Coturnix japonica: one gene and its partner. Each later gene encodes a partner of the first gene's protein in a complex. Links are inferred from orthologs where the notes say so. Each region holds a gene or a part of one and is shown in the gene's direction. Other genes may lie near its edges. The genes, in order: SMURF1 and SMAD1.

Region 1 (15,956 bases):
GATGCTACTTACAGTTCTTCCTGTGGGTTACCAATAACATCCATCCCTTGTAGAAGTACATGCAAAACATGCCAAGGGTGCAAGTATCCCAGAGCAGTGGTTTCAATGTTACATTAAGGATTGAATTAAAATGCCTACTTACTAGTATGCTTATACCATTTAAGCACTGTTAAATTAAGCATGTTTAACCTGTTTCCTAAATTATTTTACTATTTATGGCGGATAGAAATGTGTAGGGCAGAAATACCTTGTTCTTTAATTAGGAACTGCTTTCTCTATTTTCAGTTTGGGGATAATGGCACCTTTCCTTTCTTGAGAGGACTTCATGATGTTGTTATCTGGGAAGAAACAAACCAAAATCTATTACGTGTAACAGCCCCTTTTCCTTTCCACAGGACTTCCTGACCCATTTGCAAAAATAGTTGTTGATGGGTCAGGTCAGTGCCACTCAACTGACACTGTGAAGAACACGTTGGACCCCAAATGGAACCAGCATTATGATCTGTGAGTTGTTCATTAGGTCATATGTAAACCTGTATGTGTATATATAGATCTGTCTGATAAATGAAATAGGAGAATTGCCACCGGTGCTTCATCCTGTGTTACCAAGAATCATATTTACTGAGGAGGACTAATTATTGCAATAACAAAAAACTGTCTGCTAATAAAGGTTTGCTTCTGTTTGCTTTCTGTGTTTGAATGTAGAAATAGGTGTATTTTAGGTACAGAGCACCTCTGCTTGTACTGAGCTCTACAGGACGAGTGCAGTTCAGCTTTTACAGCACACTGTCCTTATAGTGATTCACTGTCTTCAAAATATAAGAAATATAAATTGTAAAAAAGTTTTCTACCTCAATGAGTTTGACGCTTAGGTTTTAATGAGGCTGTCTGTGGTTAATTTGTGCTGCAGCAATATCAATTTAATGTGCTGTGTAAAATCATAGTGCAGTAATTCATTAATAACACCATTCCAGGCTTAAGCACTTCTGTATTTGTAATAGAGGAGCGTGACCAATGTACTCCAGTGTATCAGAATTTGTTCCACAGAAATACTGGGGAGTAAAGTGGTATTTTTTTCTAAAATCACTCTTCTGCTATGTATGTTTTTTAGGTATGTTGGGAAGACAGATTCCATAACCATCAGTGTATGGAACCATAAAAAAATCCACAAGAAACAGGGAGCTGGCTTCCTGGGGTGTGTCCGACTCCTCTCCAATGCCATCAGCAGGCTAAAAGATACTGGATGTAAGAGCAGCTCCTATCTGGCACAGTCAAGAACCTTCATTGCCTTGTATCTTGTAGTGAGTAGTGTTCTCTCCTAGCCTCTTGGTGTTTTGTTGATGTTTTCAATTCTTGTTTGCAGACCAGCGTTTGGATCTATGCAAACTAAATCCCACAGATACTGATGCTGTACGAGGCCAAATAGTGGGTAAGAATACTCTTAGTTAAATATTTATCTGTTTAGATAAATACACTATGAGGGCAAATAATGTATTGAAAAAGAAATCCATGGTTGTTGCTTCAGAGCCTTTTCTGTGTTGTTTCTTCAGGTTTTAATGGGATTAGGTTACATAACACAAATTGTTTTGTTGTACTCTTACAAATGAGTTGATTTGCTCTTATTTAATAATGGCAAACAATATTAAAAAGAGGGAGTGCATTTGGCAAGGTTCCTATTGCAGCTCTGGAAGGGTGAATGCTACTGTAAAACTAATTGCATTTGGACCAAGATGGCAGGCAAACAGAATGTTACCTGGATAAGAGTTACTTAAAGAATTGCTGTTTTAATACCATCCTTGATTTTTGTCTATGTCTGTTTTTTTCCCACTTCTGTCAGTGCTAGTTTTGCACTCTAACTTAACCCATATCACCACATTGCTCTGCCTCCCCCTGCCCTGCCCTGCACCCAAACCTTTCAATATATGTACATCAATATGTCTAGCAAAATCTAAATTCTCACTGTAATGATGACATCTAGTGGTGAGCAATTTCCTCCCATATAACCTTCCCGAATCCTCATGGAATGCAGTTGTGGGAGCTGCCTTTTGACATTCACAGAAATAGGCTCAGCTTCAGCTTTGATGATGTGATGCCTCTGATGCCTTTTCACCCTTTTTAAAAAATCAATGGTGTGTTAGGATTATGGAAGGATCTGGCGTGAGTGATGTGCTCTCATATGTGCAGTATGGTTTTAGTGTTCCTCAGTGCTTTATGCTGTGTAAATATGGGTTGTCTGGTTTTTGTTGTTGCTTAGGGAACAATTATTAACTTGTGTTTGGTTTTTATTTCAGTCAGTTTACAGACACGGGACAGAATAGGCACCGGAGGTTCTGTAGTAGACTGTAGAGGGCTTTTGGAGAATGAAGGGTAAGGACTCCTTTCTTTACACTTACTTAGAAAACAAGTTCATATGTGGAAAGAATATAACGACTATTATCTTCTCTGGGAACGCGTAACAGGTAGTAAAGCTGTAGCTGAATGCTTCCTCAGAAGAAAATCATCTAAACTGACTAGGACTTGATATTTCTTGTTACCAGTGCCTCTGTTTGGGTAGGAAATTTGGTGTAAGAAAGTGATGTACCTTGGGCTGGAAGTTACTTAAAGTAATGGAGAGAGAGGGGAAAAAAAGCAAACAAAAACAAAGCAGTTATTTCTGCATTCACTTCTGTGATGGAAAATCTTGAAGTTTCCCCATTTTCAGAACGGTTTATGAAGATTCCGGACCGGGGAGGCCACTGAGTTGTTTTATGGAAGAACCAGCACCCTACACAGACACTACAGGGGCTGCAGGTGGAGGCAATTGTCGCTTTGTAGAGTCCCCCAGTCAAGATCAGAGGCTTCAGGCACAGCGACTTCGGACTCCTGAAGTCAGAGGTCATGTCCAGACACCTCAGAACAGACCTCATGGTCACCAGTCTCCTGACCTACCTGAAGGCTATGGTAAGAATTTTCCAGAGCCATTCGATTTAAGTTTTCAAAAGACTTCAGAGGAAAATTATCCCAATTTACCAAATCGATGCGGTTTACCTGTTAGGACGTGAAGTATCTATAAGCATCTAATGGTCTGTGTTTTGGAAAAGGAACTAAGCAGTGCAGCTGCAAGTTTGAGTCTAATTAGCAGTTGTCTACTCCAGGATACACTGAGAGGTTGATGGTAAATTAAACATGAGTTTGTGGTATGATGCTGTTACAGAAAATTCACTGCTAATCTTGGCATTGTATCTAGGGAGAATGAATGTAAAGAGCTCTTTAAACTAGAGCAGTAGTGCTATTTTTTCCTTCCCCCTTGGCATATCGTGTAGGTTTGAGCCCACATTTGAGAAAAGATCAGGAAAATATAAAAGCAAAGAAGCCAGTAGTACAGAAGATTAAGAAGGATAAGATTAGGGAGAATTTAAAGCTCGGAAAAGAGCACGCCAAATCTAGGAGGAAAGAAATCCAGTTTGGGGGGTTTGAGATGTCTCAAGATCTAAAAATAAAAATACAAACTGAAACACGCTGGATTTCTGAGTTTGAAAAGGATTGCTGAACTGTGTCGTCAAGTAAACTTGTGAGCACTGTGTTTAAGGGCAAAGCAGTCTGTGCTGCAAGAGATCGGGTGGGATGGCTCAAGTAGTTTCTCCTAGCTCTGACAGAAAGACAATGTACACCAATGGCTTCAAACTAACTGTTTATTCAGGTTGGTTTTTTTTAGGTTTGTGCCTTAAAGTAATCTTCCATCCATTTTCGCAGAACAAAGAACAACGGTACAGGGCCAGGTTTATTTTTTGCACACGCAAACTGGAGTTAGCACATGGCATGACCCTAGGATACCAAGGTATGTATTTATAGGGCGATGGGGTGGGATTCTGTGTGTGTACAGATGTGAGCTGAATCTTTTAGAGCAAAAATCAGTGAAAACTTGAAGAATAATAATTATGAAATAGACTATCTAAATTTAATGTGAGAGAGATGAGCAGAGGGGTGATTTTGGTTCTCTCCATTTAGCTTTGCACTGTACATTAAAGATGACTTTGAAAGGGAGAATTATCTACCAGTGAATCTTGTAAAACAAGCAAAGAAAAACATGTAGTCCTTCAGGAATTACCATTTGGCAAACCCTTCCAAAAGGTCACTGTGACTTTGTTATTGTTTTTTATAAAGTTGGTTTTCTGAATCAAATTTTTTTCTTTAGAAACAGTTTGGACTACAAATTAGATAAAAAGGTGACTGCCGCCTGAGTATTGAATTGGTAATTTCTGTATAATAGTGCCCATTCTTGTACAACTGAAGCAGAGATTACCTCCAGTCTTTAAACTTGAAGTAGTGCTGGGGTTTTTATGCTTCAGACCAATGATTTGCAGCTAGGAAATTCGAATCCTCCACATGATTAATTTAGTAAAGCCACTTTAAAACTTAACCTGCAGTTAATCCAGGTCTTTGTGACTAAGGTCTGTCTGTCTTCCTTGAGGAGCTCTGAATCTGGACTGTTTCACTGGGCTGCCTGCACACCCAGTTCGGTAGTAAAGAACAGCGTTTGTAACTCTTCAGCTGCTGTGTTCATTGTGTAATAGACCGGTGTGGTACAGGATATTAGAAAAATTATATACAGTAGTGTAGGCAAAAGTGTAGATATAACCACAGTATATGGGAGGATATGAAAAAATGAGGTTCAGAGAGAGATAAAAGCGCTGATGTTAGATTAGCTGATGCTGTTGGAAGAAAAAATGACAATGCTCATTCTTCATGTCAGTCAAGTCAGGCTTGGATGCTCAAAGCCTTGTTTCTTCTCCAACTGATCCTGGTTTACTTAATGAAAGCTGCTGCTTCTTTTTGCTGCACATTTTAGCCAGGATTTTGGGACCAGCAATGTAGGTGGTCACAGCAGTGTCTCAGATTCAGTGGTCACCCGTCTTTGGGTTGAGATGGCTTTTCTTTGCCACAGAGTTACAGTGCAAAAATGTAACCTTGGCATTTAGCACAGATGTAGGTTAAAACTTGGTGTAATCAGATCTCTAAAGCACTTTCAGATGCACAGCTGATTGAAACAAATGGTTACAACTATAATCTTCTTTCAAGGAGCCTAACAAAGGCTTGTCTGTCTCCCTGTGTACCCCATGCTGGCTTATGCCATCCCTTGACAGTAATGAAGCCTTTGATGTACAAAGTGTTCTACCTTTTCTAAAGCCTCTCATACCCTTATACTGATGTTGGGCTGTTAGATTTAGGTAATGAAATCTATAGAGTGATGTCTTCAGCCCTGCATAATAGATAAACCCGCCTCAACTGTCTAGAGAACACCTCCCTTAACAGCGTTCCTGTCAAAACAACAGTCTCCAGGTTCCCCTCCTTCTTTTTCTTGCCATTGTTGGTATTTTACTATATGGAGCAGCTTTAAAGCGTTTTAAATTCTCGAGTTGTAAATACATCCCGTGTTGAATTTAAACGCTATTGTGCTACCTGAAGGTGAGTGATTGCCTTTAGCAGCTCCTACAAAGGATGGCACCTTAAAGCTATCAAGAATGAAAGGGATGAACGTGTCAGAGAAGCCTTTCTGTGAGCGATTTCTCATACTTAAGTTTCTAACCTCGCTAATTAAATAGGTGAATTTTTCTTTTGAAGCCATTTTAGTGTTTGGCTGCCTTGGCTTCTTACCCTCCTGGGTATTTGGAGGCAGTGGTTGATTTAGAGGCCTTTCATTTTTAGGTTTTCTGCACATGGGTCGCATTAGTGTTAATAGGATTTTTTATTTTTATTTTCTGTCAAACTCTTTGCTACAAAGAAGATCTCTCTGGCCTTTTGCAGCTCTGCCTAAATGATGATGTTGCATGTTGAAGTTACTTTTAAGCTGCATGGCTTTGTTACTCTCAAGGACAGATTACAAAGTTGCACTGCTTAGATGAAGGATTCTAAAAAGGCAACATTAAAGTAGTTACAGTGTACTGCTTTCCTGAGGCTTTCATAGCCTGGAATCACAAAGAGCCAAATGCACTCCCCCTCCCCATTCCCTGAATGTAATTGGTTCCACCTTCACTTCAGGAGTGCTTTAACTTTGTTTACTTTTCTCCTTAGAGACCTTAACAGTGTGAATTGCGATGAACTGGGACCTCTGCCTCCAGGTTGGGAAGTTAGAAGTACAGTTTCAGGAAGAATATATTTTGTAGATCATAACAACAGAACCACACAATTCACAGATCCACGACTACATCACATCATGAAGTAAGAAGTTTGTATGATAAATAATTTATCTCAAGTTTGGATTCTTAAGCCATTTATTTTTGTACAATTTTAATTACAGTCCGGGAGTCATGAGATGCTGAAACAAAACCCCATTGCTTAATGATATTAGGCAACAGATGCAAGGAGGTGAATTTTTGTGCGAGTCTAATCAGGGTCTGAATATTAGTTGTCAGCCCTAGTTTTGTCTAACCTTCATGCAAAGACTTTACAAAACTGTTTTTATTATGCTTTGCAGTCCCCAGGGAGGGCTTGCATATTTCTGCATAATGCTGATCTTTTAAGTTGGTTTGACCAAACTGCACCAAGTTGTGTCGGAGAAAATATGCAGATCTAGAAATGTTGCAGTGCAGAGTAGAGGATCTGCCAGGCAGTTCCACAGCACTCTGCTCATGTCTCTCTGGCTTAGCAGTTCTAGTTCTATTCTAGCTCTTGGTAGATCTGAGCTGGCTTTGTGCTCCTTTGAGCTCCAGACAGCAGGAATATAAAGCCAGGTGGAGTCTGGTCTCCTGGTGCAGTGCACAGCCAGCTCAGGTTTAGCGGGATTTAATAAATTCAAGCTCTACATCATGCAAAAGCAGCTGCACTGTTACAGAACTGGCCCTGGAAGAAGCCTGATGGTGTGCATTGTGCTTGAGTTCAGAATTTGCCTTAGATCCAACCAGTCTGTGCTTGAAGAATATACTGCAGAATCTCTTATTTAAAATATGAAATGGATCCTCAACCCACATAAAGGCATGACCAATGAGGATGAACGTTTGAGGCTTTGTCTATGTAGGAGAAGTACACATTTCTCTTCCAGTAATCGTAGAGGTAGTTCTTTTCTACTGTGTCATTTTGTAATGCTTCTAGAATAAATATTTTACTTTTCTTTCAAAGCCATCAATGCCAGCTAAAAGAGCCCAGCCAGCAGCCTCTGCCAGCTCCAAATGAGGGGTCCGTGGAAGAGGGCGAGGAGTTGCCTGCACAGAGATATGAAAGAGACTTGGTGCAAAAGCTGAAAGTTCTTAGACATGAGCTTTCCCTTCAGCAGCCGCAGGCAGGTCACTGCCGAATTGAAGTGTCCAGAGAGGAAATATTTGAGGTATTTGATGGACTCTTTATTACAAATATCAACTTCTCTCATTCAAGTGTAATAAAACTGGTCTTTTCTTACATCAAGTCAGTTTAATGGGAGAAGTGGTGAATCTGGTGGTATCATACAGATTATCAGAACTCTGATTAAAATAAAGAAAAAGAACATTCATTTAGTTTCATGTTTTAACTTGGCCATTTATAAGAAGAAATTCTGAGTAGTTTGGGGTTCTTTTGCCAATACAAATTTTTAGTTGCTAAAAGGCTTTCACCTTTCATGGTGAAAGCTGGGTTATGTAAAGTGTACATGGGTTTTGCTGACAAATTTGAGCGTTCTTTTTCATTTAGAAATGACAAAAGTTGAAAACTGAAAAGGAATGGAATCTGCTTGTTATTACTGCTTGTGTGTGTGGGCATGTAAAAAGTAACTCTAACTGGGCATTCTTCTATTCTTAGATCGGATTACTTTTTAAGTACTTTTGTAGCAAAGGGGAATTAAGCTTTTTGTGGACTTTATACCAACAAATGTTAGTCTTGTCATTGAAATGTGCTTTAGATTAGCCCTTTAACAGAATTTTTTGGCAGCTGAGTAAAAAAAATCTATTGTACTACTGCTTCTTAGTAGAGCTAATTATAGAAAAGAAATAAAATGTCTAATCTGTTTAAAAAAAAAAAACTACCAACCCAACCAATAAATATGTCTACACATGTACAGGAATCCTACCGTCAGATAATGAAGATGAGGCCCAAGGATTTGAAAAAGAGACTTATGGTAAAATTTCGAGGCGAGGAAGGCCTGGATTATGGAGGAGTAGCAAGGTGAGATTTTAGTTTTTCTGACAGTTTTTAGCTGTAAAACTGGTGGGGTTTTGTGTATGTGTTTGTGTTCTTGTGTGTGCTTTTCAATGAGTCTTGTACAGATTTGATTAGTTTAAATATGCCCCTGACCATGTTTAGGGAATGGATAAGGAATGAGATGGCATTGTCTCATTGCTTACTAGCTATGTTAATTCATGTTAATTTCTTCACTACTTATAAACTACAACCAAGCAACCTGTACGTTGAAAAATACAGTAAGATTTTAAGTGTACTTCTTTCTTCTGCAGGTGGAAAGCAGTAGAAGATTTAATTTGAAATAAGAAACTGATAACCGTGTTAATGGTTCACAGTAACTGTGTTATCTAAAACTTAAGTGGAAGTTGCATTCTTTTAAAATAACACTTTCTTTTTTGGCAGAGAATGGTTGTATTTACTGTGCCATGAAATGTTGAATCCATACTATGGACTCTTCCAGTACTCTACAGATAATATTTACATGCTGCAAATCAATCCAGACTCCTCTATCAATCCCGTAAGTATTGACTTCTGAGCAATGTGTGTATTTTAAGAGATTGTCCCTTGCAGTTTATAATTGCAGCTAATTCTTTCACAATGAGAACATAGACAGTGAAGTGAGGTAAAAATGTGTTAACACATCTTGTATTGTTATAATGCAGAGGAGCAGGGTTTGCACAGAAATGGAAAAGCATGAGAGGCCTCTCAATAAGCTGCTGTGTAGTTTGGGTGTTTGCTTCCTCATTATTGCAGGACTTGTATTGATATAAACCCTAAAAGGAGAAGCAATTCTGCTTGCAAGGTCTAAAGTACTTGTATATAGTTTATTAGGTAAAGTGCAGAGACTTGTTTGATATGTTTAATCATTAAATGTTTCTCTTCTTGGTTATGTTATGAGGAAAAAATGTGGTTCCTTTTGCCCAGAGGGGCTGCAGATGATTTGCACTTAAATAGCCACGAGATGTCAGTGTTAGAGTGTCTTTGTGCTGCCTGATTTTCTCCTCTCTCCCTGCAGGACCATTTGTCTTATTTCCATTTTGTTGGTCGGATAATGGGTTTGGCTGTGTTCCATGGACACTATATCAATGGGGGGTTCACGGTTCCCTTTTATAAACAGCTCCTGGGGAAACCCATTCAGCTCTCTGATCTGGAATCTGTTGACCCAGAACTACACAAAAGTTTAGTCTGGATTCTGTAAGTACTGTATTTATTGGTTGTCTTGCTGTGGAGAAGATAATGCTTTACAGAAAATAGAAGGGTCTTGTAACAGGGGAGATGGGGACAAAATTCCCAAGGAACAATTTCTGTGTCAAAAAGCTCAAACTATGTGAGGAAATTGTTCTCATGTAAACTGTGTTAGGCCTCCTTGTAGTAAATTAGGTTCTGAATTAAGAGTTGCGTGAGTGTGGTAGAATACCACAGTATCAGAATCCTCAGAACTCCGTCCTGAGTTTGGAAGTACAACCTTTGGCCTTAAGAAAGCATGGATTTAAAAACAAACAAACAAAAAAACAACAGTATTGATTAAAAAGAAAATAAATTGAATTAATTTGAACTTTGTACATGTACAGTTTAGAACAAAACAAACCCATCATCATTAGGTGAAGCTTTGGGATTCTTCAGCATTTCTTCGCATTGTTCCTTTTTCATAAAGGCTGTTTTAAATTTAAGTTTGAAGTTATTGGTATGTTATTGAAAATAATTGATTTCTTCTGTGCTGCACTCAGTAGATGACAGCAGATTGCGTTATTGTTGTGTATATATATGTGTGTGTGTTTAGGGTTTAATCATTTATTCATTATCCCAAATACTACCACAACTGTAATGGTGAGAATGGCGCCTCTGACTGGGCTCCTCAGCAGACATTAAGCCGTATGGAAATCAGTGGTTGTGGCAGCATTCCTCTAGTGGTGTGGAATGCAGATGGATGCTTACCAGGTTTATACTGACACTGTGTGTTCAAATAACAAGCTGTCAGCATTGCCACTGCAAGTGATCAAAAATACAACGTTTACCTTCTGTCTTTCATTTGTTAGAGAGAACGATATCACCCCGGTTCTGGACCATACTTTCTGTGTGGAACACAATGCTTTTGGGAGGATTTTACAGCACGAACTCAAACCGAACGGCAGGAACATTCCAGTGACAGAAGAGAACAAGAAAGAATATGTCAGGTATTGCAGAACATATCCTGCAAATGTAGTGGAAGGAAGGCAGTGAACACGTTGCTTCTTTTTATATGGTGTAACTAATGGTATGGGTATTTCAGAGGGAAATACCTGATTCATAAATTACGTGTTTTCATGCAATGTAATGTAGTAAAGCCTGGGAAGAAGAAGTTGTAAGTTGTACATTGTGTTGTCTGTTGATGGTATAATAATTAACTGTCGATAGCAAAAGGAATTAATAATCATTTCTTTCATAAAATGTCTTTTAAAACTAATTCCTCTGTAAAATGAACTTTTTCCAGCCTTGCTCAAAAAAGCCCATTCTTATCCAGCTTATCACTCTGACCTTTTTTGCCTTCCCCCAGGTTGTATGTGAACTGGCGATTTATGAGAGGCATAGAAGCACAGTTCTTGGCTCTGCAGAAAGGTTTTAATGAACTCATTCCCCAACATCTCCTCAAGCCTTTTGACCAGAAGGAGCTTGAGGTATACATCTTAACCTCTTGGAATATTAGTTTGTAATTTGTACATTCTAAACTCAAGCACTGATTTGAAAGTAAATAACAATACAGTTTATTACAGTTTCTATACTAGAAGGTTATGCGTTTGTTAAACAGAAAACTTTGTTTTATTCTAGATGTGCTTTGGGTTAGTGTTAGTGAGAGGACTGCTCAGACAGGGGAGATGAATACACCGTGCTGTGTAACCAATCACTAATGCTCAGAGCAGGTGGTCTGGGCAGAGAGAGGGAGAATTGCAAGCCTGAAGAGCTGCTGGCAAGACCTAACCTGTTATGTGCCCCAGAACTTGTTTTCTTCAATAACTATTTTAATACGTCTGTTTCTATAGACACATAAGTCATGGTTTACAGCAGCTAAAGTATAAGTGAGAGAGCACATAGAAAATGAATTAGTTTATCTTTGCATTTAATCCTGAGGTACAGAGTTCTGCACCGTTTTTCTTTCTGATTTTTGTTTATTATTTTAAAGAAGGCAGTGGACTATTTGGAGCATTGGAAGAAGTAGTTTAATGGAAGTAGTTTGTGCAGACCAGTTGTTCACACGAAGTTACTGTGTTCCATGAGTTAGTTGTTTAAAAAGGCAGATTGTAAATCCAATTAATATTTCAATTCTTTCCAAATTAGGATAGTTACAACAGCCCTAATACTGTAAGTTAGTCTAAGTGGGTACTATCTTGGTGTCACAAAAAGACAGCTGCTAAATGGCAGCTCTTAGAATGGAATTCTCAATATGGAATATTGTGGGAAATTTAGAATATGACACACATTTTGTTTTGAGTGATGATGTCTCCTGTATGCCATTTGTTTGTCGTTGCCAGGGTAGCTGGTTAGATTCATGGCCAATAATGACTTCCTCTTTCAATATTTTGCAACCTGGTTTCATCTGGAAAAGAGATTGAAGTAATCTGTCTAGTCTTTGTCAGACACTCTCATAAACAACATCAAAAAACAGCTGCTAAGTTTTTGTATTTAATGGTTAGTTATGGACAATAGACCAATTAGGCTGTAACCATAAACTGAGCAGCACTTTCTTGTAGTGGGTTATTAGCAGCTCTAGGACAAAGCCAGATCAGGAAAATGATTTCTGTGTCAACTCAGTGGATGGCATGCCTTCATCCAAGTCTGTGCTGTGTCCTCACAAAGATTCACTGTACTTTTCAGGTGGGGTAGATTTAAAAAGCAGGTCTTGAATGGGCATTTGAATCTGATTTCTTCTGAAAATTCCAGTTCTGGTGCAATCCTCGGCTTCAGTTTCATTGCAGATTAACTGGGGAGATTTACTTCCTGTTCTAAACTGTTTTGGAGGGTTACTGTGTACCAGGAAGGTGGCTCGAGTGCATAAAGAATGCTGGGCATTGTGAAATAATTCAATGTATGTTTTCATAGCTGCAAAACTGAAATGACTTTGAATGTTAAAGCATTTTCTAATCCATTAACAGCTAATCATAGGAGGCCTGGATAAGATAGACCTGAATGACTGGAAGTCAAACACACGCCTAAAGCACTGCATGGCAGATAGCAATATTGTGAAGTGGTTCTGGCAAGCGGTGGAAACATTTGATGAAGAAAGAAGGGCAAGGCTTTTGCAGTTTGTGACAGGTTCAACGCGTGTCCCACTTCAAGGTTTCAAGGCTTTACAAGGTGACTGATGTGGAGGCTGAGTTAACATGCAGTGGGAGGAAGACTGTGTGGAATTTATTGGGCCCTTCTGGAATATCAGCAATATCAATACTGGATAACTCGATCACTTGCAAGCTTTTCATCCTAAGAGCAGTTCTACGTTTATCAGTGGCTGCTGGTGACCACTTTAGCTGTTGCTAACAAGTCATGCAAGCTGGACAATCTGTCCTCACGTAGCACTTAGGCTGCTGTCAGTACTGGCTTATCAGTCTCTTACAGTTCTGTGGACTGATGTTGTTAGTATCACTGCATAAGAGCATGTACGTGATTATAGAGCAGACTGAGCAGTTCTTTTACATGAGAAGTGTATCCCCATTGATGCTTGGCAGCAGACCATTAGACTGAAACAACTTCCTGAAAGTTGCAGTTTTGGTTGTCATAAAAGGTAGCAGTGTCCTAGACTTGTGGTTCTTCTAATAGCATTGCTTGTGTTAGCTGACAGCAAACTGATCTTCAGAATTGGAATGCATAGTTCTGTTTTGCAAGAAAAGTCTTCTTACTTTTGAGACTTTTCAATATAACTATGTGAAGTTTAACCACGTTCCAAAATACTGCTCTGCAAGTTTGTTGTCATTAAGAGACCCATCATTTCTATTATCTCTTCACCAGCTGCAAATCTGATCTGCAGACAGGCTATAGCACACTTGTATCTGCACCTGGAACTGTGATTTTCTCTTGCCTTTTTATAAATAGCAAAATACGTGTGCATTAATGCTATTTTGTTGAAGTGCATTAACTAGAATGTCTGTTTGTAAGGTTCTACAGGCGCTGCAGGACCCAGACTGTTTACCATCCATTTAATAGATGCAAACACAGACAACCTTCCAAAAGCCCACACTTGGTAAGATGAAATGTTCCACTTGTCAGTGTGTACTTTCCCTTTGTCTTAAAGTAGCCATCTTAGTCCTGGCTATGGATTAACCCGTGTGAGGTGCTTAGATGAATCCAAGTATGTTCTGCTAGCTTGGAAATACCTGTACTCTGCAGCCAGCAAAATAGTTGACTGAAGTTCTTATTGCTTGATGCTTGGCTTATGTCTTCTGTTCTACCTGTGGTTTTTGTCTGCCCTGAGATCAATTATTCTGAATAGTGAGATGTTAATGTCCACATATTCAGCAAAAGTATTCACTGATAAATTACTCATAGCAATGAATCTTCATTGAGGATTAGAAAGAGTAGTTTTTAGATGTAAAGTATAAGAAAAGTGCTGTTTGATACAAAACTGAGCTCTCGTATGGAATGTCAGGGAAAAGAAATGATTTCAGTAGAAGCACAGATTACATACAGGCAGAGCAAGGAGCGGGCCTGCCTGGTGTCAAGTCTCCTGCATCTCTTCCTCCCTGACCCAGCCCAAGTAAGGCATTCCTGCTGCAGAAGTACAGTTACTCCTTTGATGTTGTCTCCTTTGACCATTGAAAGAGCTGAGGCTTTGACATGAATTTTACAAATTCTATCTTTATGTAGCTAATCTAGGGTTTGTATGTTAGTTTTTTTGTTGGTTTTTTCCCTTAATTTCAATATATATGTTAGGTTCATAATCTGCAATGTGTTATTATTTTATCTCTAGCTTTAACCGGATTGACATTCCGCCTTATGAGTCATATGAGAAGCTTTACGAGAAGCTGTTGACAGCTGTGGAAGAGACATGTGGGTTTGCTGTGGAGTGAAAAAGCAACCAAAGGAAACAGATGCTAGCTCATGGACCACCAAATCAAAAGCTAGAAGAAGCTTGCTGTGAACTTCCTGCTAAGCTGTCTGAAGCACCGGAACTCTAGACAACTTGGAGATGGCTTGTTTCCCTTCCACTGTTGGTGGATGATGGTGGGGGCAGGGGCTTTTGTTGGTGGTTTCCAACTCTTTTTTTTTTTCCCCCTTTGTTACAATAAGCCCTTCCCTCTTCTTCCATCCCCATAAAATGTAATGCAGCCAAGTTCAGCATTTGGCCTTGGATACACAGGATATTCTGCTAGATTTGTAACACATATTGTGATGGGTCGATGACCTGTGGGTTTGTTGTTTTTTTTTTAATAGGAAAATCGCAGTGTAGTTAAGAATGAGCTTGATTTGCCGAGGACTTGCAGATGGTTAGGAGTGCCTGGTTAGTTTGTCTAAAATCAAGCTTGAGCCCTGTAGGGTTCAGTGGGTGCAGTGTGTCTGACTGGCGCTAGAATTTGCATTGCACATTCTAAAAACCTGATTAAAAAGTGAACTTCTAGCAGAAATTACCTCCATATGAGCATTTAACTGAAAGGCAAAGTATTTCTAGTTCTGCCTTAGCAGGAAGCTCCCAGTGGAAGCTGTGGCTTAACTTGAGAGAAGCGAAAGAATTGGGGACAGCTTAAATGGTATTGTATGATTTCTTTTTGGTTGTCCTGGCTGAAACCTAATTGTTTTGCACATGAAAACAGTTATTTCCTCCTGCAGAATTACTTTCCGTAGTTTGCTCAGATATAATTACCTTACAGAGAAAGCTTTGCAAGGAGGAGGCGGAGGACAAAATTACTTCAGTTCCAAAGCTGTGATTTCTGTGCCACTGTTCTACCTGAGATGTTTTTGCGACTTCATATTTGAAGACTCAAAATGGAAATCACCAAATGCTACATCAACAGAGCTAACTTCTGTTCTGAAGTTTTTGGCTGTGTGAAAGGTTTATTTGGAGGCTGTGGTAAAAGGGTAACTATACAGTGAATACATTTTAAATGTTAGGGAAAGCTATTGAAAGGATTTACGACTTCAGTTCTGTAAGGATAAGAATTTCTCCAGAGAGCCATATAAGGCTGTTTTTTAGTATACCTGAAACTAATATTAAAAGGTTGGTTCTCTAACACATTGCTAAGATAACTTCCCGGGGGTAACAAAAGCAAATCAAACACCCGAATCACTAACATTTTTTCCAGTTTGCACACCAAAATGAGACAGCATTTTAACAAATAACACAGCTTCAGAAAGCCCCAGTTATCTGTCAAACATGTCTAAACTTAAGTAAAGCAGGCTTGCTTGTATAGGACTTTTTTCTTTGGCAAGCCTGATTTTTAGAGAAATTCATTACTGAAACATTTAACAGATGTTTTTGTTTATGGAATAGTGCATTGAAATTCAGCTGTGGGTAAGAGGTTGTTCTTAGAAGATGTCTACTGGAATACTTCTATTTTGTCTTTTTTAAATTGAATTTGATAATAGCTTTAAACTGTGATAGGACAGAAGGTAGACACTTGTCGAAATTCTGGCATCATTCTCAGTTTTGTTTGTTTCCATTGACCATAACTCTCGTGGTTTGTGGTTGGGAGTGAGGATTGCATTGAAGGTGTAAAATTGTACCATAGTGTGAGATTTGCACAGGGTGGCTCAAGGTGCTCAGCCAGCGAGACTGTACAGGAGAGAGGTGTATTTACACCCATGTTCTGGAGGAATCTTGGTGCAGCTGGGGACGGGTTTCTGCAGTTCTGATCATTGGGACACAAGTG
Region 2 (14,580 bases), on another chromosome or scaffold:
ATATGTATTCTCAAAAGTTAGAATTGGTAATTTTTTCAGTCCTCCTCAATGATAATTATTCCATAATTTACATACGATATTGCTGACTCTATACTTCCACTGCTATGCCTGCTTAGGAGAGGGGTCTTCATGAGGGCAGGGGTCATCTTGACCTATGAGTGTGAACTTTATTGTTACAATGAAGGTAGTTCAGCATGGACCTTGAGTTTTACTGCCAAGTTGGCAACGTCCTCAAAGCATCCTGATTAATGTCCTCCTCAAGGCCCATTGGCTCTGGTTAAAGGATGCTAAGTGTTTATTCTTCTGATACCTAACACGGTGTTAGCTCAGTGTTTATTCTGATACCTCACACGGTGTTAGCTCAGTCTTTGGAGTTGGTCTTATACAGTAATACATGGAAATAGCTCTTGCGGAGGGGGGAAGTGACAGCTCTCTGGCTCCTATGCCAAAATCTGATCTTTTTTTTTTTTTCTTTTAAACTTCTAAAAAATAAATGTCGTACTCAAAGGAAGCAAGAACTGCTGAAAAGTTGTCTTTTGGGGAAGGTAGAAGTATTTTAAAGAAGCAAATTAATATCTCTCTTCTTGTTATTTGTTTATGTTGTCAATAATTAATGGGCACTGGGAGAAGATACATTGAATAACATTGGGTTTTTAAAGTGCAGTAGGAAAACTAGACAGCTTTCTTCATTAACAGTTATGTAGATTCTGTTTGCTGTGGTTCTTGCCTAGTCTTATGTCTAACTGCTCTGAGTACATATGAAAAATACTTAATGGGATCCTTTTTGCCTGCATCCCTGGGCTGTGATACAAATAAGGAAGTTAGTAGAGGAGTTAGAGCTGCTTGTTTGCCTGAAACTCGGGTTTGGGGTTGTTTCGCCTCCTGCACAGCAGAGGATCACCTCATTGTCCCAGCCCTTTCCACCCACCAAAAACAATCATTTATGCAAAGTGGGGCAGTTTCCTATGGGATCTCCTGTGGGAATTTGAGAACAGTCTCGCTGAGTATTTTACTGTCTGCTTTGTGTTGCTGGCAGGGTAATTGTGAGCATAGGAAAGCAGAGCTTGGCTTTTAGGCGTTTTGCCCGAGTATGGCAGTTTAAACCCAAGGCTGGCTGAACAGCTCTGTGTATAACACTCATTTTTTGTCCCAGCCCCCTCACAAGCTGCATGTGGGTCTGTGTGTTTGTCAATCCAAAGATCACACAAAAGATAGCGGCAGTGGAGGAAGAGGAATAAAGCAGTGCTGATATTAAGAGTTTGTTGATTCCAGCTCATCCATCAGCAGACAGAACATGCAATAAAAAGCGCATCGTTTTTGATGTGTAAAGAGTGGCTGATAAGTGGGTAACAACTTCATTTCCTTTCAACCAATTCCAGACTGCCTTTTGGAGGGTGTCCTGTTGTTTGGCTGAGCTTGTTGCGCTGGTACCTTGTGAGTAAACATAACCTTCAAGGGCTGGTGGTCACTCAGCTGTTGGAAGAGCAGCTCCTATTTTCCCAGAAGGACGTGTGTATTTGGGAAGGCAGATGCAGACTGTCATCTGTTGACTTGCGGTTTAATCTTTATTTTGCGCTTCCAGCTGATAAGACCACTTTGTGCAAAAGTAATACAGGAAATGATGCATTGCAAAAACCAAAAGTGGCAAAAAGGGAAACAGAATGTACTGGCAAAAGCTCAGTGCTACGGGCATGCTTCTGGCTTCTTGGAAATGAAAATCTCCACCTACACGACCTTTTTTTAGTTTGACACCACTACTGGAATTTAGCATTCGAGTGGTATACAGCAGCCCGGGGTATTTCTGTTCGTTTGTTCATTTTCCCTTTTCTTTCTGGCTAATTCAGGGCCTGGATCTTCTCTGGGCAGGCTGAAATTCAGCAGCAGTGCTGGGGTTGGAGGTCAGCAGCAGGTTGTAGATGCAGCTCACAGCTGCTAAGCTGCCTTGCCTTCAACTGTATTTTCAAGTACTGTGTCTAATGGGCCTCGCTGTGCTGCTCCCAGTGCATTTCCTGCTGGCTGCTGCTCCAGAGGTGCCAGCTGTTAAGATAACACTTTTGGTTGTGATGTTGAACATATTTTGGAGCATGTGCTTATGGGAATGGGACATGTGCATGTTACAGGGTGTGATCCAAGAATGTCAGAAAATCTATTCCTGTGGCGTGGCTGCTTGGGGTTACATCTGAATGTCTTCCTGGTCTTATCAGACCGTAAGTGCAAGCACATACTAAGGCTGTATTTTCAGGCCCGAGTGAAAACATACTGTTTCAATAGGCAGAAAACTTCTTTTCTACACAAGAAGCAGTTTGCCCATCTATTTTTAAAGCAGCTTGGTAGAAGTGGGTCATGCCATGGTAATCAACACAGACACAGTTCTATGTATGTAGACTGAAGCTGGGTTTGAGATTTAGACTTCTAGACTTTTTAGACTTGTTTTTCACTAGAATTTCCATCCACATATTTAAAATATTTTTGTTGTTGTTTCAGATCTAATAGATGTGAAGTAGAAAGTTTGACTTGATTACTTGATAACAGTAGTGTACATTTTGTGTGTGGAACTGGTGTTTTTTGTTTTCAAAAAGTAGAAAAAAGCTATTCAGAACATTGAATGAGATACAGGCTATGTATGAGTTGAGAATAGCTCCAATACTTGTATGCATATTTGAAGTAAGTGTGCTGGGTCTCTGATAATAAAATTGTTGAAATAAAACAGCATTTTAGTACAGCACTTTTGAATGTATGTAAGGATAAAATATACCTGGAGTGCAGTCAGTGACAGTAATGGAGTTTTAGTTCAGTTGCCAGTATGGCTTATGCTCAGGTAAGAAAATCTATTGTTAAATTTGCCCCAGGCTTATGCATTTCTCCCATTGCACTGACATTATTATTTCAAGTAGAAGTCTCAGAATAAATGAATGGAAAGTACCAGGATGAAGCGCAGGTGGATGCAGTCTTTGTCTTAGTTTAAGATCATTATTCACATAAATGTAGTTTATACATTTGACCTAATAAAATGGAACCTTTGCAATTAGATAATTATTTTAGTGACAACTTATTTGAATCAAGTGGATGGTTTTCAGCTTGAAGTACTCTAAGTGTAGAGGTACGCAATGAAATTACAGTTATGACAGTTAGGAGCATAAGTGTGGCTTAGCAATTAAAATTTCAAGATCCATAATTATTTTTGATTATAAACTTGCAATTCAGGCTCATGGCTGCTCTGATACCTTCTAACCTGTCTGTGTATGGGCAGCGTATGGATTTTTTGTGGTGGGTTGTTCTGTGTTTTTTGTTTGTTTGTTTGTTTTGTTTTGTTTTTTGGTGTTTCTGATGGTAACAAAAACATTTCTATCCTTTTCCTCTTCCCTCTTCCTCTGCAACCTCTCGGTATCTGCTCTGGGATACATTTCCTGTCTGTCTTCATACTTAATTTGAATGCTTCTGTTTTAGTGCTCCTTATCTCCTTGTTCCTTGTGGCAGAGGTGAGTCTCTTGTTTGCTCATAACCTGAGTAAACGTGAAGCCCGCTGCTTGCAGAAGACCCTGTAATGGGGATTTCTCTGCATGCAGAGTTCTACTCCTCCCTTCACCCATTGCTTCATTGCTGTTTCACACCTCCCAACCTGAAGATCACAGTACTACCTCAAACCCTCTTATCAGTTCTTCCTCCTTCCTGCTCCTTCATGTGTCTTTGAGCACATCAGGCTGGCACTGTGAAGGGAGGGGTCAGGATGTAGTCAGTGATGTCTTTCCCTTTCATTCTGTTTAGGTGAGGGCTTTTTAGTGGGTTAGGAAGACAGAGCTTTGCTTTCTCGTGGGGAGCTGAATGAGGGCACAGATCTTTCTAGTTTCCTGTTCTGCTTTTGGTTTGTCACTCAGACTAACTCAGGTGAAGCTGAACAGTTTGTCACAGATTGTGATATGCGCAGATCCCATGCAGTTATTCTCAAATCGTATTGCTTGTAGAGATCTGGGTAGTGCAGTGCTGTTGAGGTATGTTGCTTCCACCTTCACTTGGAAATCAAAACCAAAAGTTTTGGTTTGATTTCATCCTGTATGAGTTTATTGGGACGTTTTGCTGTGTGAAGTTGCCAAGCTGATAGGCTGTGGGGAGTGTACTTTTCACTTAGCGGTGAAAGATAAAAAATGGGGGGCTGTTTTAGGCTACACTTGGGCTGTGAGCAGGAACATTATTTGAAGTTGGCAAATGCAGTTGCCCTTGCTACATGGCACAAAAATCACTGAGGCTATATCGCGTATTGGATGCGGGCGGGAACTGAGCAGAGGGATAGTTGTCCTACCTTCTAAGTTTCCCTACCTTTGCACTTCCTTCCTGCTTCTCTCTAACTCCCTTCAACCATTTTGTTCTGTTTTGTTTATGCAGTGCCACTGTTTTTCAGGGCAATCCCCTCATTTATTTAGGACTGTTTTGGTAGCAAGAGTATAAAGACTTTACCAGCATGCTCTGCTATTTAAAGGTCCTTGTCAGGCTGTTCCTTCAGTCTGATGTTGAGACTGCTGACACTTTGTGGTGGCGGTTTTTTTGTTGTTGTTGATCGGTTGGGTTTTGGTCACCCTGGCCCTGTGGGGTGGAATGTTTCTGACTGCTGGTGGTTAATTGACAAAGTGAAATCTGTTTTCCTTTTTCGCTCTTCTCCTGCAGGTTCTCAGCCGGAAGGCTTTAGCAAGATGAGAAGGCCACATCTGTCAAGGGGAACTGTCAGCATGGCCGTCCTGGGACGGGAGGACTGAAATAGCAGAAGCACCACAATATTTGGGCAGACTGCTTTTGACTACTGATTAAAATCTGCAGTGCGGCTGCGGTGGAAGAACAGGACAGTCTCTCCTGCTTGGTCTGTGGTATCCAGTGTGACCAAGTGAGGTCACCATGAACGTGACAAGTTTGTTTTCCTTCACCAGCCCGGCAGTGAAGAGGCTGTTGGGGTGGAAGCAGGGGGATGAAGAAGAAAAATGGGCGGAGAAGGCTGTTGATGCACTAGTGAAAAAACTGAAGAAGAAAAAAGGTGCTATGGAAGAACTGGAGAAAGCATTAAGCTGTCCTGGTCAGCCCAGCAACTGTGTCACAATTCCTCGGTCCTTGGATGGCCGGCTTCAGGTTTCACACCGGAAAGGGCTGCCACATGTAATTTACTGCAGAGTGTGGCGCTGGCCAGACCTGCAAAGCCATCATGAACTGAAACCACTGGAATGCTGCGAGTTTCCTTTTGGTTCTAAACAGAAGGAGGTCTGCATCAATCCTTACCACTACAAGCGGGTAGAAAGTCCTGGTAGGTTCTTCCTTGTTTGTACCTTTGCGCCTTATCTAAACAATGCAAAGTGTGGCAGTTAATCATGTGACTCATCAGCTTAAGTAAGCAGTAGTCGCTGTTTGCACACGTCAGATTTGTACTTTGCAATCTGTCTGGATATAAGCATTGATTCGCAGTTCTCCCTTTCACAGGGTGAATACTTGCCATATATAAATGCATTTTGTCACTGTGCAGCAGCATACTGTCTGTGTGTGCCTTAAGTTGCTGGATCTCTTGCCTCCTGGTTTTGTTGGTGGCCACTATCCCTCAGTTCATTTTATTTTTTTATATTTTTACTGAACAGCGCAGTTTGAGCATGTATGAAATGTTGCAAGCTAACAGGAAGGGTAACTGCGTTTAGTGGGTGAAAAACTTTCTGATATGATCTTACTGTTATTATTTCACTTCTATCACTTCTTTTCCTTCACCCTTCAGAAGATACTACGGTCTTTAAGGTTGCCTTCAGCTTTGGCCTTTGAAGTCTGAGGTTTTGGTTGCTTTTTATTTTTTTTTTTCAGACACGGAATATACCCTCTCAACCTGGAGCTTTGATAGTGGGGTTTATTTTGTACATGATGTTTTACCTTTAGTTGTTCTGCAAGTGGAATGTGTTTACCCATTACCCACTTCCACGCTTTAACAAGTGCAGCCTGTTCTCTGTCTCCTCTTCAAGGGCCCAACCCGCTTTTAGTAAATCTGTGCTTGATTTGCTTGTGTGAGTTTGTTTTCAGAATATTTCCAGGGACTAAGATGAAATGTGCGTAAACATGTCTCCACTGGTCTCTAGTTACTTGTGAGGTTGTACAGGGACATCTGCAGAAAATGCACTGCAGGTGTGAGAGGGCTTTTCTGGTTTAAATTTAGGAAATCTGCCTGTGTTAGGCACTTTGTAAACTGCGGAGCTGTTTCTGCAGAGTGGCATGGATTGCTTAAGAACTGCAGTGGAAATGACGTTGTTACCTGATTATTTTCCTGTGAATGGAAATAGCATTTATCTTGGAATTGCAACACGTAGCGTATATCTAGATGGCAAATATTTCCCTTTGGTGTGTTAGTATTAGTTTGGAAATCGTGTGTGTGATATCCATAAAATATGGCTTTTATGCAGCAGATGCTTAAACAAAAAGCTTAAACACTGCACTGGAGGAAGAAAAAAAGAGGAGTTTTAACAAATGTTAAGGGTTGTGTGTTGAGCAGAAGTGGGACAATAAAATAAATAGTTTGTATTACTAGTTTTCTGCATGTGTCTGCACCTGGTGTGTATGTTCAGTGTTCCAAAGTACTGAAAACTAAGATTCCCAAAGCACATCTAGTTCGGTCAGAGTGAGCAGCAGTTGGGCTCTTGCTGTCATGGTAACACCAAGTGATGTGTTACAGCTCATTTCCCTTTCGTCTTGGAAGCAGTTACCAAGTCTGAGAACATTCTAATTCTTATCATTTATGCCATATTTAAGACTATATTTGTAAGTGTCCTGTCACTTCACTGAGATCTGCATGGTAAAAATAGAATAGAACTTTCAAAAGATGTCTAACTAAAATGTGCTGAGTACTGTTAGGTAGCCCAAGTGGTTGGAAAGTGGTTTTGGGCCCTGAGTCACCTTCTACATTTTGTAGTTGGGAACCAGCAAAATGTTATTTTTTGAATTTGGGATTCCTGCTGTTTTAGGGTAAAATACAAATTTCCAGAGTTTGTGTAGTTTGTGCTGGGGAGAAAACAAAGAGTGACTTAATCAGTTTGGAGATGGTAGCAATGAAATATTTCCCGCTGCTCAGCCAGTGCCCCTCAGGAAAAACTAAGTACTTCTGGTTATCACCTTAGTAAGCAACTGGGCAGTTTGCTTGTTTACATCAGGGCTGGAATGGCCTTGACAGAGCTGATGAAAGGATTTCATCCACCGGAAGATCGATGTGCTGCTCTGACCAGCTGAAATTTACTGGAGGGGAGTGTTGAGCAGGAGCTGCCTTCTGCCTAATGAGTCGTGGGGCTGCAGGTATAAAGTTGTGTGTATGTTGGGGTCTCATCTTAAGAACTTTTCCAAAGTTCCACAATGCCAGAGTGGGGTCAAAGCCTTAAGTTTTTACTGAGGTCTCTGGCTGGGTTTGTGAAGGAGGTTTTTCTACTTAATTAACGCTGTAGATCAATCATTGTTTTGAGGGATATTGCATGGAGATAAATTTGGAATACGTGGCTTTTGGGAGCAGGTGGTAACTGAGCTGCCATTTGGCCTAGAGATGTGCACTTCATAAGTTACAGTATCTCTTCCTTTCCCTTCCCTGTTGTTTGTCCCCAGAGTGTCACTCTCAGCTTCAGTTCCTGACAGTCGCTCTCAAACTTGGCTAACTGTTTTTCCCCATTTTTGCCTGGACATTAAAACACCATTATTGCTTCCTAAGTGCTTATGCTTTGAGATTAATGGATTGGGGGAATTCACACATGAGTCACTGTTTCCAAGCAGATATCGAGACTTGTGTTTCCAAGGTTATCACAGCCAGGAGGATTGGAATTATACTTGACTAAATGAAGCTAGAAGCTCGAGAGAGTGTGTGATGGTCACTGTGCAGGCTGTACAAGTATATTGTGATATCCTGGCTCTGCCTGCCAGCTTGGTCAGTGCTTAACTGCCTCAAACAGACCCAGCTCCTCAGGAGCTGCTCTGTAGGGCGCTGCCTGGGATGGGATCAGTGTGCTCTGTTCACTTTCCTGTTAGTTGTCACGTGGCTGGTGTTTGTGTAAGTTCTGAAGAGTGGATTAACGGTAAATCCTCAAATAGATAACATCATGTAGTGCTTTCAGTTGGGAAATTGGTCTCACAAATGCTTTTATGTTTTCACGGTGCTAGAAGGGGTGCATCCTTGCTATCCAGCTTAAAAACACAAGCTTGGAAATCATTGCAGTTGGTGTGCTTTAGTCTGTCTGCGGACTACAGTGTTACACCTGAATTCAAGTGAGGTTTTTCTCCATTAGCTAGGTTGGATAAAAACCAGTTGCAAGGAGTTGTGGGGAGGCTGAGGAGAGAACTGCCTGGAGTTTCAGAGCCTCCCAGGTGTCCCCAACCGCTGGTATCCAGTAAGAGACTTGGGTGTGATTTGGTGGTATGATGGTAACACCTAACCCGGTGCTGAGGCTCTGTGCAGGCATCAGCACCCATATGGTCACAAAAACTAACCAGACAGAAAATTGCTGTTTGGAGATGCCATTCACAAGCAGCTCCTACAGTGGGCTGTGCCAGTGCAGTTGTCTCAGTGGCCTTGTGCTGAAGCAGACTGGCAGTGCTTTGTTCTCATCCCACTGCTGCCTTATCTCATGGGCCGATCAGGGTCATCCAGGGGATGCGAGAACACCCATGCACCCACAGGGCCTCACATCTGGCCTGTGGGTGGAAGCAGAGGTGGTGTGAAGTGAGCGTTCCAAGTGGAGGCTGTTTTGTTGCTGAGAACAGGAACACAATCTTATTCTCTACTGCCAGGATGAAATATCTTGTTACATTAGCTTTCTGTTTTGTAGCTCTGTTGGGTGCAGAATTATTTCTGGTGCAGAAATGGTGGTAGTTGATAGGTGTGAATTTCTTTTCCTTTGGCAAGGCAAAGCAAAGCTTTTAATGAAGGAGGGCAGGATTTCAATTTGATGCCTTTTAAAAACTGGTGCAGTCAGCTGAACTGGGCTGCTTGTGTGGCTGAGTCTGCTTTTTTTTTTTTTTTTCCCTTCAGTTTTAGTTTTTGGCTTAGAGATACCTGGAGATCAGATTTCTATGTGCTCTGGGGCTTGTAAGTATGACTGAGACCTGAGTCTGGGTGTAGGCACTGGGAGAGGAGAAAGCAAATGTGTCATTCCTCAACTCTGCTTGAAAATGCCACAAATGACCTCTCTGGTTTTGCTGGAGGACACACAAAATGGCATCCCAAAGCCTTTCCTGAGATACTTCTTTCTTTCCTTCTTTTAATCTGTTGCTTTTGTTTCATGGAGATACTCCCTCTGTTTCTTGCCTCTGTCTTCAGTTATTCCAATGGAATCAGGTGAAAGACATGACTCAGAATTTGGAAAAAATAGGAAGCCTGGATCCAGTTTGATCTAATAGCAAAACAGAGATGGGACAGGGAACAGGGAGGATGAAGAGTTGCTTAAGTTGACACTGCTTTAATAAATAAATAAACAGGGAAGGAGGTTCAGTTCCTTTGCTTAGTTAAACAAAAGGAAGGAAGAAATTCATATCCCCATAGAACTGATGGATATTGGCCATGGGTGCCATATGCTGCAGAACTGTGTTAGTTGGCCCCTGCTGCTCAACAGTGTTCTAGATTAAAGAGAGTTTGAGTTTGTAACATGTTGCAAAGGAAGCAAGAGAGTGGTTAACTTTTCTTTTAGCTCGGTGTGTGGAAGTTGGTGGTGCAGAGTATTTTATGTAGGGTATATACAAGGATATGACTGAGTGGTATCTTCTGAGAGTGGCGTGTGTCCAGAATGCCCTGGTATCTCTGGGGGTCAGGCTTAGAAGCAGCCTGCTTTGCACAGATCTGAGAAAGCTTAATCCTGGCTTGGAAAATGTAGTTGTTATGTTTTGGCATTCATTTCTGGAGATGATATGATATGATACTAATGCTCCACTGTTCTTGAACCACATAGTCCAGAGGAGCACTAAAACTGCTCTGTCAGAACCAGCTTATATGTCTTCAGAAATTCTGGCTGCATTCATCAACCGATGAACTCTTCTGCTTGGATACCTGTATTCTGCCTAAACTGCAGAATGAGCAGTGGGTGCTTATTTGTGACGTGGGTGAATGTGTTGTCAGAATGGCTGAATTTTTAATTTTGCCTAAATATCATGTTCCTTTCCAGTATAAACATGAATTTAAAGTGGATGTCTGCCTCACTAAGTTTGCCTGCAGTGGCAAGAAGCATTTAATGTAAATGTAGAGGTGCTTTATGGCACAAGAACAGGCCAAGTCTGTTCCTGGGCTCTGAGAAGAGCAGTAGCTATGTTGTGCTGTTTTTGCTTCCTGCCTATGACTTTAACCTGATTGCTTTCATATTTGTTTTTGATCTTCTCTGCTCTGAATGTCTGTCAGGCTGTACACCTGATTGCATGCACCAGAGGTGCAGAAGGAAACTTAAAATGGTGGAAACCCTGGCTAAGGCAGCTTGAGATTTGTGCAGCCCTGGAAGTAGATGCTCCACATAACACTGTTGCTGCTCTGATACTCAGCAGAAGAAAATGTTTAAAGGAGCTTTTGAATGCCATTTGAAATCATACAGATATTTGGTTGTGTGTAGCGTGATTATGCATGCAGTTGTGCTAGCTTATGTTTGCTCGTGTGTGTTCTTTCTCCATATAGGTACTGTATAAAAACATGAAATGGGTCCGTTAGTTAAACCCAGTCTTGTTCCCTGGTACCCACCCGGCTTAGGATCGCTGTGTGTGGAGCTACTGTACCCAGGCTGTTACCTGTTGGATCACTACAAGGAGTGCTTAGGCTGCAGATAAGCAGCAGAGTTCGAATATAGTGTGCTGCTTGTGGCTCTGGCTGTTTCAGCAATCATCATCAAATGGGCAGAGGCTGTAATTCCTCTGGGGTCAAACAGGGAAGCAGGGCGGAAAACGGAGGGTGAACAGCAGTTCCCTATGGGACTGCCAGCTTGTCTGGGCTTCCAGGGTTCCCAGGGCCTGCATGGCCCCAGCACCTGGGAGGACCGGAGGCGGCAGGAGAGCCTCCGGCTGCTTTCCGGCCAGATGGAGAAGCTTTGATGGCCAGGGCTCGGGGGAGCTGGGGACCAGCTGTGTGCAGCTCTCCTCCACTGCCTGGCCTTCTGGAGGGTGGTGCTGGATAAGGGGGGATGCAGGGAGCACGGAGAGGAGCCTTGTGTGGGAACTGTAAGGGGGGGAGACTGGAGAAGGAGAAGCGAGTGCAGTGGAAGGAGGAAAACAGAGGAGAGGGGTTGAAAAAGGAAAATACTAGAGAAACAGGTCAGCAGCTGATTTGAAACAGAAAAAGGAGATCCAGTTTACTAAACTAATTTACAGAAGCAGTTTACAGAAATTCACCCTTTATTCCCGTAGCACGGTTTGTGTACCTCTGGAGGCTCAGGGGTGTGTGAGGAGGGGGTGGCATCGCTGGGAAGTTTTGCCTTATTGCTGCATAACCCTGCTGTTGGGCGTAACTTTAAAAATAGCGTGCGACAACAGGTGGGTACAATTAGAAGATGGTTCCCCGAAATAGTAAACAACTGTCAGCTCGTTTGGCAGGGAGTGTGAGACTTTGCACATTTCAGTTTTGCTGAATTATTATTTATAATAATTATTAGAATTCCCCACCAGAACTGAAACAGGGAGACAGGAGGGTGGGGGATGGCACAAACTGTTTGTCCTTTGTCCAGCCTTGGGAAGGAGAGCTGCAGTAAAGGGACAGAAGTTGTCAAGAAGGATGTTGGTTTGTTTCTTAATTAATGAGATTCAGATGTTTCTTCTGGCTTAGAAGAGCTGACTTCCATACTTGAACCTATTCAGTAGGATGGTAACTATGGTTTTCATCCAGGTAATTTGAACTCTGGTCTGTGTAAATGTCTAACTTAATGCACGCTATCACACTGTAACTTTCTCCTGTACTTGCTCCTGTATCAGGAGTGCTTCTCCCCTCAAATCAGCTTACAAGAACTCCCTCGCTAATGTGCATATGATTAGTACTAAATTCTGAAATTGGCCTTGACAAATGTCAGTTTAATCAAAACGTTAGCTTATCAGAGCATCCGCAAGTAAAATCTAATGTTAACTGGATATTGTAATACAGGAAATGTACTAATGTTACTTGCCAAATGCATTTAGACCAGATGTCTGATGTAAAAGTAAAGTCAGCGAAGCAATAACTGTGCTTTTTTTTTTTTTTTTTTCTCTTTTTTTTCTTTTTTCCCTTCTGTTTTTAAACACAGTCTTCAGTTGCAACTATGTAAGATGACAAATCAAGCTGTGGGGTCTGCAGAAACTGCAAAATAAAACAAAGGGTTGAGAAAGCAAGGCAGCTCACAGCTTTCCCCCGGAATAGAAAGTCTGGAATGTTTGTTTGTCTGTCTGTCACCCAGCACAGACTGCTGGACAGCTATTGTTGAGCCTTTTCCTTTGCAGCTACTAGAATGTAGGTTTGGAGCAACAGCCCCAAAGGCTGGCAGCTCTGCTTCAGAGAGAGCAGCAAAGCTGTGCTCTGCAGCCTGTAGCACTGTCTGCTGCAGCCAGGAGGTATTGTAACAGCATAAAGTAGCGAGATCTGTGGGGAATTGCATTTGCCACAACAGTAATTATTTTTAACCAAGAATAAACTTGATCATGAGTGTAGCCATGCAAGTATCTTTGTATGTGAGAACTTGTCCTCTGGTCAAAAAAAATAATTCAGTTTTGCCAGGTGCCGTTTGAGGCAACACAAGAAAACCTAATGGCATGAAAACTTTTCTTTCTGCTTGGTGTTCTTTTGTTTACAAGCAAGACCTTGGCAAGACATGTCAGTCAGCAAGTCTCAGTGACTCCTTAATGCTGGAGACAGCAAGCAGAGGTAAGCACTGAGCTGGGTGTGTGCTGGTACCTGCTCTGTTGGCACCATGGGAGTGATTACTTGCCGGTGTGCCACAGCCTGCTTCAGCTGCACTGGCCTCAAAGGCAGGATTTTGAGGCAGGAGTCTTCAGAATCATTGGAATTTGTTAGCTTAACATTGATGCTGTGCTTTTAGGATTTATTTGGTTTTGTGTGTGTGTGTATGTGCTGGTTTGGTGTTTCTTCTTTTGTTCTCTGACTTCTTACTTTGCCTCTTAGGACCTATCAAGAGCATTGAGTGAGCCTTGTGCTTTCATGCCCATCTCCAGATAGTGCCAACTGCTGTATGAGGATTTCATTCCTTCTCAGCATGCAGTTTTATTTTCCCCATAAAACATGAGCAGCTTTGCATAAATTCATATGAAAACAAGCCATATGATGCTTGCAAATTAAAGTACACAGTCTAATGATAGTGCCCTGAGGACTTCATAAGGCCTGTTTTGGTGTAAGGCTGCACAAGCACTTCTACATAACATATACCCACCAAGTTGTCATGTTTTTTAAGGACAGGGTGGTTGAAAGTGAAGCAGCAGTTGCTCATCCTTTACTTATTTATTTGGTAAAGCTAGCAGAAATAATGGAATTTACTTTGGAAAGGATGATCAGAGCCTGCTTTCTGATGTGTGGCTCCTTGGAATATTCCATTATTTGTTCTTGGAATTTACAGACATGAAAAGAAAGATCCCTACCCAAATCTTCATGTAATAAGCCCATGAGGGAAAATCAGCTGTCATCTGGGCTTGTGTAAGACAAGCAGAATTCATCTGGATGAAAAAAATAAGATACTTGGAATGTACAGCGGATCCTTTGGTTTGGAGTAGGGTTTATTTTTTAAGAGAGAGGCTTTAAAAAAGAAGTTGTAATCATAAATCTGTGACTTTCTGTCTTTGCTGAAACCATTATCTCTGGAATGTGAAATTAGAACAAAAAGGAAAACCAAGAAAATGTTGAGTGTCGCACACCTGTTAGTTTTCTGAAGAATGGAGATACAAAGAGTAGAGATCAGTAGCTTTCTTCAAAGGCCACTGTAAACATTTTCATAAGAGCATTTCTTTCTTGGTGTGGTTGGTTGGAACATTTATCTGAGCAGCCCAGTTGTCTTTGGTCTATATTCTGTGTTTTTGACGTTCTTGGCTCTTAGATGAAATAGCCCTGTGGGTGAAATTGCCCTTTAGCTGTAATTTCTTTAATACAGCTCCGCTTGTTTGGTGCAGGCAAACTCTGAATGCAATTTGCATGTTAAGAACAAGCTGCCTAATTCCCAGGCTGTCTCACTCTGCTGACAGATACAGGATCTCTTCTTTGCTTCAGTTTTGCAAATGTATCCAGCTTGACTTCCACGGGGTTTAACTTCCTCCTCAGCCTTTAGTAGCAATGCTGCTACTAGTAGGCATATTTTAGGGCTGGCATCCAGGTGCACGTCTGCAGCAAGATTGAGATACAGCTTAACCCCTAAAAACTTTAAATCCGGTGTTTGAGAAAGCACAGAAATTGAGCTGTCTGATGACCTGCAGTTCTACTCCATTAACCGGTTTTAACCATTTTTGTAAGGTTGAATTTACAGATTTTTTGAGATGCTGTTTGATACAATTGTTTCAGTAGCTTTTAAAGACAACAGTGTATTAAGTGTTTTTCCTTTAAATATATGCATCCAACTGAATAGAAATAGTGACAAATAAATATATATATAGTTTCATACTTCT

Evidence for each region.
Region 2: the proteins of SMURF1 (region 1) and SMAD1 are in contact, whole or in part, in an NMR structure (PDB 2LB1), measured with the Homo sapiens proteins. The link is inferred for Coturnix japonica from reciprocal best matches to the Homo sapiens genes SMURF1 and SMAD1. Residues at the interface, in NP_065162.1 of Homo sapiens: Glu313, Val314, Arg315, Ser316, Arg321, Tyr323, Val325, Asp326, His327, Arg330, Thr331, Thr332, Gln333, Phe334; in NP_001003688.1 of Homo sapiens: Asp221, Thr222, Pro223, Pro224, Pro225, Ala226, Tyr227, Leu228, Pro229, Pro230, Glu231, Asp232.

The regions. Positions count from the first base shown.
Region 1 is NC_029529.1:4,320,212-4,336,167, reverse strand, and holds part of SMURF1 (E3 ubiquitin-protein ligase SMURF1), read left to right. Parts: intron 1-395; coding exon 396-504; intron 505-1,111; coding exon 1,112-1,245; intron 1,246-1,363; coding exon 1,364-1,429; intron 1,430-2,291; coding exon 2,292-2,367; intron 2,368-2,686; coding exon 2,687-2,940; intron 2,941-3,732; coding exon 3,733-3,817; intron 3,818-6,051; coding exon 6,052-6,198; intron 6,199-7,095; coding exon 7,096-7,300; intron 7,301-8,005; coding exon 8,006-8,109; intron 8,110-8,526; coding exon 8,527-8,641; intron 8,642-9,139; coding exon 9,140-9,318; intron 9,319-10,160; coding exon 10,161-10,298; intron 10,299-10,657; coding exon 10,658-10,778; intron 10,779-12,251; coding exon 12,252-12,453; intron 12,454-13,248; coding exon 13,249-13,333; intron 13,334-14,059; coding exon 14,060-14,159; 3' UTR 14,160-15,956. UniProt on the Homo sapiens protein: E3 ubiquitin-protein ligase that acts as a negative regulator of BMP signaling pathway. Mediates ubiquitination and degradation of SMAD1 and SMAD5, 2 receptor-regulated SMADs specific for the BMP pathway.
Region 2 is NC_029519.1:27,354,418-27,368,997, forward strand, and holds part of SMAD1 (mothers against decapentaplegic homolog 1), read left to right. Parts: intron 1-4,659; 5' UTR 4,660-4,884; coding exon 4,885-5,284; intron 5,285-14,580. UniProt on the Homo sapiens protein: Transcriptional modulator that plays a role in various cellular processes, including embryonic development, cell differentiation, and tissue homeostasis.